2 linked regions of the Oryctolagus cuniculus genome follow. Each later gene encodes a partner of the first gene's protein in a complex. Links are inferred from orthologs where the notes say so. Each region holds a gene or a part of one and is shown on either strand. Other genes may lie near its edges.

Region 1 (4,027 bases):
GTATACACAGAGAAAAAGTCATCTGAGGACACAGCAAGAAGATGCTATCTGCAAGCCAGTCAGAGACCTCACCAGACACCAACCCTGCCGGCACCTGATCTTGGACTTCCAGCCTTCAGAACTATGAGAAAACAGATCTCTGTTGTTGGTATGCAGTCTGAGTAGACTAAGACACTATAAGAAACCGATACCCTTCAGTCTAGAGGAACATGCAAAATCTGTTATGTGCACACTGAAGAGCACAGTCTATTAGTTACCTGTAACAGCCACATAGCCCTTCTTTTAAGGTAAGGATCAGCAAACTACCTGAGTTAGCTAGTAAATACGTTAGGCTCTGTGGGTCACAGGGTCTGTCGCAACCACTCAGCTCTGCCATTATGATGTAAGAGCAGTACTAGACAATATATAGATTAATGAGCTTGACTGTGTTCAATAAAACCTCATTCATGGACATTTAAGATCATTCCCCCGATTCATTTTTTCAATTATTTGAAAATTTTTAGCCTTTGAAGTCTATAACAACAGAGGGCAAGGGCAAGCCAGATTTGGTGCACAAGCTGTCATTTTCTATCCAACACTTTAAGGTAACAAAACCACTAATTTTAAGATAGGCATCTTGGAATCCAAAAGGATACCCTTTCCCACAGGAGGCTTGACTCCATGAAGAACCTCTGCTCAGAGGTGGGAGCAGAGGCTGTCTGTGTAACTTATGTAACTTCTGGGTCCTACTTCCTTTCTTCTTTTCCCCTTTCCAACTAGCTAAAATGGAGACATGGTGGTAAATTACTTTGGAACATGAGAATAGCAACAAAATCCTAAGAATGGGAGTACCAACATAGAAGAGCTTGGACCACTAATGAGCTGTTGGGACTTTTACAATACGTTGGAGAACTAAACTTTTCTCGTTTTAGTAGCCATTAAACTGCTTAAATAATAGGAGAATATTCCTTCTATTGTTTTTGCTTAAAATAGTTTGTGAAGATGGATTTATCCATTTCTTTGAAATCTGGAAGTATTTACTCAGAAAGCTAAGTCTGATGTTTTTCTTTGTAGGAAGACTTTTAGTGCTGAATCTATTAAAATATTATTTATTTATTTGAAAGGTAGAATTAGAGAGAGAGAGAGAGAGAGACCGAGTTCTCCCATTCACTGGTTCACTCCCCAAATGGCCACAACAGCGGGGGCTGGGCCAGGCCAAAGCCACGAGCCTGGAACTCCATCCAGGTCTAGCACATGGGTGGCAAGGACCAAAGTACTCAGGCCATCTTCCACTGGCATCCATATGGGGATGCAGTAGCTTAACCTGCTGTGCTACAATGCCAGCACTGTGAATCAAATACTTTAATGTTTGGGATCATTCACATTTTAAAACGTCTTCACAGATCCATTTGGATCATTGCTATTTTTCTAGGATTCACTTCAATTTTTGCTTGTATTTTCAAATTTATTGCCAGAAAGCTGTATCTTTCTGTAACTTATATTTCTACTGTATCTATAGTTATGCTGTTCCCCTTTTTAGTTCTAATTTTTATTGATCCCCTCTCTTATAAAAAATCACTTTCAACAAAGGTTGTCTAAGTTTCTTTTCCAAAAGAACTTTTGTCTTTTTTCTTCTCTATTGTTCCATTTTTTAAAAAATTTATTTATCAGAGATGACTTTTTAATGCAGTAGACTAAGCTGCAACCTGCAATGACAGCATCCCATATTGGAGCCCTGGTTCAAGTCCAGGCTGCTCCACTTCCAATCCAGTTCCTTGCTAATGTACCTGGGAAAGCAGTGGAAATTGGTACTGGACTTGGGCCCCTGCACCTACATAGAAGACCTGGATGGAACTTCTAGGTCCTGACTTCAGCCTGGCTCAGCCCTGGCCATTGAGGCCATCTGTGGAGTGAACGAGTCGATGAAGATCTCTCTCTGTCTTTCCCTCTCTCTAACTTTGACTTTCAAAATAAAGAAATCAGGACCGGAGCTGTGGCACAGCGGTTGGGGCTGCCGCCTGCAGTGCCGGCATCCCATGTGGGCACCAGGTTCGAGTCCCGGCTACTCCATTTCCAATCCAGCTCTCTGCTATAGCCTGAGAAAACAGTGGAAGACGGCCCAATTCCTTGGGCCCCTGCACCCACATGGGAGACCCGGAGGAAGCTCCTGCTGCTGGCTTTGGATCAGCGCAGCTCCAGCCATTGTGGCCAGCTAATGAGTGAACCAGCAGATGGAAGACCTCTCTCTCTGCCTTTCCTCTCTCTGTTAACTCTTTCTCTCAAATAAATAAATAAATCTTAAAAAAAATCATAAAAAATAATAAAACACATGAAATAGTAAATGCAAAAGCTCAGCAAAACTTGCTGACTAAAAGTTGAAGTTACAAGGAACTGACATAAATGAGACAGGAATGTTCTCTCTCTTCCCTAAGGTACAAATTACATATGAATAAAGACCTAATAATCACAAATATATTAATATAACTTTATAATTTCATCTCCTCACAAAATAGTCACAATTTTTACAACTCAACATATCTATGAGGTGTGTATTAATAAGAAAATGCACCCTGGAATCAAAAGAACATATATTTGGAATCACAAATCATCAATTTCAAAGTAGCTGAATTAATATAGTGCCTTATCAATTAAAAATAAACAAGCATGCCCTTAAGAAATTCCATTATTACCCCTTCTGCCTCTTTTATGTGATCCAGGGTCATCTTCATCTTCAGTGACTGTATCTTGATCTAGTTCTTTTTGCTCTATTTCTTTGCTCTCAGTGCTGGTATCAAAATATTCCCTTTCTTCCTCCCTTTAGGATAAAAACAGATTACATTTATTAATGAATATAATTTTACTCATGAAACATTTATTGCCTACGTATGAAGTACCAGGCATTATGTTTAGGAAGTAGAAAACAACATGACACAGAGTTTATGGTCTTGCAGAGAAAATGGATAACTATATAAAGCATATTAAAATTAGAAAGTACTAAAGCAGATCTTGAAAGTACTAGCATTTCAAGAAGAGTCAAGTCAAGTTTTAGAGATTAAGAAAGCCTGCTTGCCTAAAGAAGTGACATTAAATTGTGACACCAGGGAGCCTGGCAAAGAGTGGGCAGGCAGGAGAGAAGCTAAAAGAAAAAGAGTGAGCTTGTAATTTTGAAGAAAGCAGAAATGAAAAAGTAGTAATTCAAGATACAGATGAGAAAAAAAATGAAAGGTTATGTTATGCGGTGGCTTGTAGGGAATTATCCAAAAAGCAATGGGGAAAAAATCTGAAGTATTTAGAAAAGGAAAGTATGACTGATTGATTAGAAAGCACCCTGGTTGCTATGTGGAAAATTATCTGGCAGAAAAAGTAGATGGGGGGAACCAAGAAAAGAAGGCACTTTCCTAGTGCAGGTGGTTGGCTAGGCAGTTCAGAATAGGAAGGAATAAACAGACAAACCAGGAGGAGAAAAGCAGACAAGTTTCAGACAGATCTCAGGAGGCAGAGTGAATACCATATGTTTTCTCTAGTATGTTATCTAAATTAAAACTAAAATCACACGAGCCTGGAAATACATTCTACTATTTATGTTCCCTATCCAAAGTGGAGTTTTGCAAGCTCAGATGTATGCAGGAGCCAGATATAAAAAAGTGAGGCTGGTCAACTATAAGAAATATGAAGTGGAATCTATACCATGCTTCTTTCTTTTTAAAGAACTGAGACATAATTTACATATCATAAAAATCACCATTTATAATATTACAATTAAGTAATTTTTTGTATATTCACAAGGTTAACAATCATTATCATTATCTAATTCCAGAACACTTTCAGCATTCCAAAAGAAAAATCCTATATTCACCTATAATCATTTCCCATTTCTTCATATTCTGCTGCTTCTTGGCAACCACTCATCTACTTTCTATCTCTATACATCTGTCTGTTCTGACCATTTCACCTAAATGAAATTATGTGACATGGGGTCTTATTTGATTAGTGTCTTTAACTTAGAAAAATACTTTCAAAATCCATCCACATTGTAGCATTTATTAAA
Region 2 (3,719 bases), on another chromosome or scaffold:
GCCCCCTAATCTATGGACTTTTATTCCCAGAGGAAAACTCCAAGTGAAATTACGAAATCAAATACATAAATCAGTCCTGGGTGTTCGTAAGCTCCCGGCTCCACAGGGCCTTGCCGCGTGTCTGTGCTCCGCTCTCCGTCTGCCCTGCACGGTGGTTCTCACGGCCTGGACCCATCAGCCCGCTGTTCCCACGCAGGGTCAGGGCTGGCGGCCGCCTTTCAGCAGTTCTGTGGTTGGCACCGTGGTGCAGTGGGGGGAATTCCCGCCTGTGGAGCCGGCATCCCACACGGCCACCGGTTCGGGTCCCGGCTGCTCCACTTCTGATCCAGCTCCCTGCTGTGGCCTGGGAAAGCAGTGGAGACGGCCCAAGTGCCTGGGCCCTGCACCCAGGTGGGACACCCGGCAGAAGCTCCTGGCTTCGGGTCGGCCGTTTAGGGAGTGAACCGCAGATGGGAGCCCCGTCTCCCTCCGTGACTCTACCTCGCAGATAAATGAATGTTTTTCTAGAGTAGTTACAATGTTTTTGTCTTCTAAGCTTCTCTGGGAGGGAGCAAGCGAGCGCTCCCACCTGTGGATCCCCGGAGTCGCGGGGCGCCCGTCTGGACCGCTGGACCCTCGGGGATCCACAGCTCAGAGTGCCCCGGCTCTAACAGTATTCCAGACACACTTCACTGTGAGAATACGGACCGGTCTTTAATAGAAAACGCAAACACGGTGCTTTACAATAAAAAAATAGTATCTGGGCAAAGAGCCAACCACAATGTTAAAACACCAGACAGAGCCTGCACCTGGCAGTGCGGGAACGCGCAGGGCGAGCCGGGAACCGGGGCCCGCCCGGGCTCAGGGTTCTGGGCTCCGGGCCCCGGGCTCCAGCCGGCGGGGACCCGGGGTCGGGGCCCCGGGCTCAAGGCGCGGCCTCCTCGTCGCTGCCGCCCTCCTCCGCCTCCTCGCCCCTCCGCTCCGCCAGCATCCTCAGGTACTTGCTCGCCAAGATCTTCCGCGGTAATATATCTGAGATGGACACAGAGCTGGGTCAGCTGGGTCAGCGGCGCCCCGCGCCCCCTCGCGCCCGCCCCGTCCCGGGCCGGCTACCTGCGAGGAACTGTAGCGCGTCCGAGCGCTGCGCGGTGCTCGCCAGGTCGCTGTAGGTCAGCGCCTTCCGCTCGGGCCCGCCGCCCTGGCTGTAGGAGCAGGTGGCCAGGTACTGCACGAAGAGCTCCTGGGCGGCACGGACAAGCGCGCTGAGCCCGCGGGAGCACACGGGGCAGCCGGGGCGCCGCGGGCCCCGTGCAGAACCCTCCCCGGCCGCGGTGGGCGGGAAGGAGCCGCGCGAGGGACGCCGGGAGGCACGCGGTGGGCGGGGCGGGAACCCCGCAGAGGACGGAGGGAGTGACGCGCAGTGGGCGGGGAAGGCCCCGCGCAGGGGACGGCAGAAGGGACGCGCAGTGGGCGGGGCGGATCCCGCGCAGGGGACGGCGGGAGTGACGCGCGTGGGGCGGGGTGGGACCTGCGCAGGGGACGCCGGGAGGGACGCGGTGGGAGGGGCGGGACCCGCGCGAGGCACGGCGGGAGGGACGCGCAGTGGGCGGGGTGGGACCTGCGCAAGGGACGGCGGGAGGGACGCGGCGGGCGGGCGGGGCGGGACCCGCGCAGGGGATGGCGGGAGGGACGCGGGGGTGGGAGCGGCAGTGCGGCGCGCACGCGCCTGCCGACAGCCGCCGGCGGCGAGCGGGCCGAGGGCTCTGGGCAGCGTGGCGGGCCGGGTTCCGCGGCGCGGTGGTTCAGGGCGGCCCCGCGCCCGCCCGCCCTCCGCGTCCTCGCCCGCCTCACCGTGGCCTTGGCCGTGAGCACCAGCGCCTCCTGGTTGATGCTGGACACCTCGGGGGAGCTCTTCATGATGACTCGGATGCGGGACAGGGGCAGCGAGACGAGCCGCTCCCCGCACTTATCCTTGCCCACGGGCACCTCTGCCATCTTCCGGCGGCCCCACTGCGAGGAGCGGCCGGGCCAGTCGGTCGGCGCGGGCTCCCGCGGCCCACTGCCCCGTGGGAGTTGTAGTGTCGCGGAGGCGCGCGCGCAGGGCAGGAGCGCGGCCCTTCCGCGTGCGAACTACAAGCCCCGTGATGCCCCGCGCGCCTGCGCCTGCGCCCGCGCTGTCCCGGGGGCGGGCGCCCTGCATGCGAGGGCCGAGCGGCCGGTCCCACGGGCAGGGGTTGGAAGGGGCAGCCGGGCGAACAGGCTGCAGGGCGGGGCAGCAAGCAAGGCGGCCGGCGGGCGAGCGAAGGCGACTGGTCGTGCCGCCCCGGGGACGGTTCGCCTCGAGTGAGCTCGGCGAGCGCCGTCCGAGGCGTCACGAGGGGCCGTGCTCGGCTCGGAGGCGGAGCCCGCGGTCGGGAATGGTGGGGTCCGGGCCTCGGGGGACGGTGACGCCAGCCGGACTGGGAGAGGAAGAGGGACGAGCGCGCCGCGGGTGACGGCAGTCGGGGGAAGTGGCCTGGGGCGTGTTTTCCCGAGGACAGCAGCGCTGCCGGGGCCTGGTGCGGAGCTCGCCGGGCGGGCCGGCTCCGGCGTCTCCCCCATCGTCGCTCTGCCCCCGGACCCCTGGGCACTGCTCAGAGCTGCCCCGGGGCCCCCGCTCTGCCCCCGGACCCCTGGGCACTGCTCAGAGCTGCCCCGGGGCCCCCGCTCTGCCCCCGGGCCCCTGGGCACTGCTCAGAGCTGCCCTGGGGCCCCCGCCTGGGGAGAGAGCTGTCAGGAGGCCGAGGGGCCCACCTGGAGCCCGCAGTGGCCGGCGAGGTGCAGGGGCGAGGGCGGACTTCGAGGCTCCCGGCGGCGCCCTCCCCTCGCCCTAGCCATGCTGGGTGAGGGGTCCCTGAGGAACAGGCGGTGCCTGCCTGCTTCCTTCCTGTTTCTGTCAGTGCTTTGGCGAGTGGGTGGTCTCGGCAGAGCAGAGCCGAGTGCACACGTGGTCCTCCCCCATGCGACCGCGGGCTCTGGCCCACAGAGCCGAGCGCAAGGCACAGCCAGGGAGCCGCACAGCTCTCGTCCGGTGGGGCGGCCGCGAGGATGTGGCGGGAGAGAGGACAGGGAAGGGAGAGACCCGGCATGGAGAAGGCTGGCGCGAGGCGCGCTTGCCGACCCCCACAGCCGGAGGGAGGGGCACACGTTGAGGACCCAAGCAGCCCTGTGGCCGGCCAGGCAGCTGGGGGAGAAGGGTGGCCCTGGGGCTGAAGGCGGAGGAGAGGCCGGGGAGCAGGTGTGGTTCCCAAGGCCACCCTGGCACCGCCCCGCGCTGCAGAGGGTGGGGAAGCCGCTGCCCTCAGGGTCAGCTCCTGGTCAGGGGCGCTGGTTCCCCTGAGAGCGAGGAATCCCTCGAGGGTCACAAAGCACAAAGGAGCCGCTGGGCGAGAGGCAGCCCCACAGTAGGGCGCGACTGTCGTGTGGACATCTTTTCTAAGCCTCAGGGTTCTGGGTCCCTGGCTGGCCAGCCTTTCCCTTGCGAGTGTGTGTGAGAGCAGGGTGGGCTAAGCTTGGGGAGGAGCCTGAGCTAGGAGGAAGGGCGCATGGGAAGTGGCCGTTGGGAGATAGAACAGTCTAGAAGCCTTTTGACTGGCAGAGAACACGCACAGCGAAAGATAAAGCCCCAAACGGTCCCAGCTGCCCCAGGGCGACAGGTGGCGACCCCATCCTTGGGATCTCCCTCCCCGGCGCCACTCTGC

The links. Proteins that work in one complex are often made in the same cells at the same time.
Region 2: BAZ1A (region 1) and CHRAC1 share a complex: the UniProt entries of both Homo sapiens proteins name them as parts of the CHRAC ISWI chromatin remodeling complex. The link is inferred for Oryctolagus cuniculus from reciprocal best matches to the Homo sapiens genes BAZ1A and CHRAC1.

Annotation. Positions count from the first base shown.
Region 1 is NC_091443.1:40,730,901-40,734,927, reverse strand, and holds part of BAZ1A (bromodomain adjacent to zinc finger domain protein 1A), read right to left. Parts: intron 2,795-4,027; coding exon 2,670-2,794; intron 760-2,669; coding exon 636-759; intron 1-635. UniProt on the Homo sapiens protein: Regulatory subunit of the ATP-dependent ACF-1 and ACF-5 ISWI chromatin remodeling complexes, which form ordered nucleosome arrays on chromatin and slide edge- and center-positioned histone octamers away from their original location on the DNA template to facilitate access to DNA during DNA-templated processes such as DNA replication, transcription, and repair.
Region 2 is NC_091437.1:165,601,360-165,605,078, reverse strand, and holds CHRAC1 (chromatin accessibility complex protein 1), read right to left. Parts: upstream 2,096-3,719; 5' UTR 1,975-2,095; coding exon 1,831-1,974; intron 1,220-1,830; coding exon 1,093-1,219; intron 1,012-1,092; coding exon 905-1,011; 3' UTR 673-904; downstream 1-672. UniProt on the Homo sapiens protein: Forms a complex with DNA polymerase epsilon subunit POLE3 and binds naked DNA, which is then incorporated into chromatin, aided by the nucleosome remodeling activity of ISWI/SNF2H and ACF1.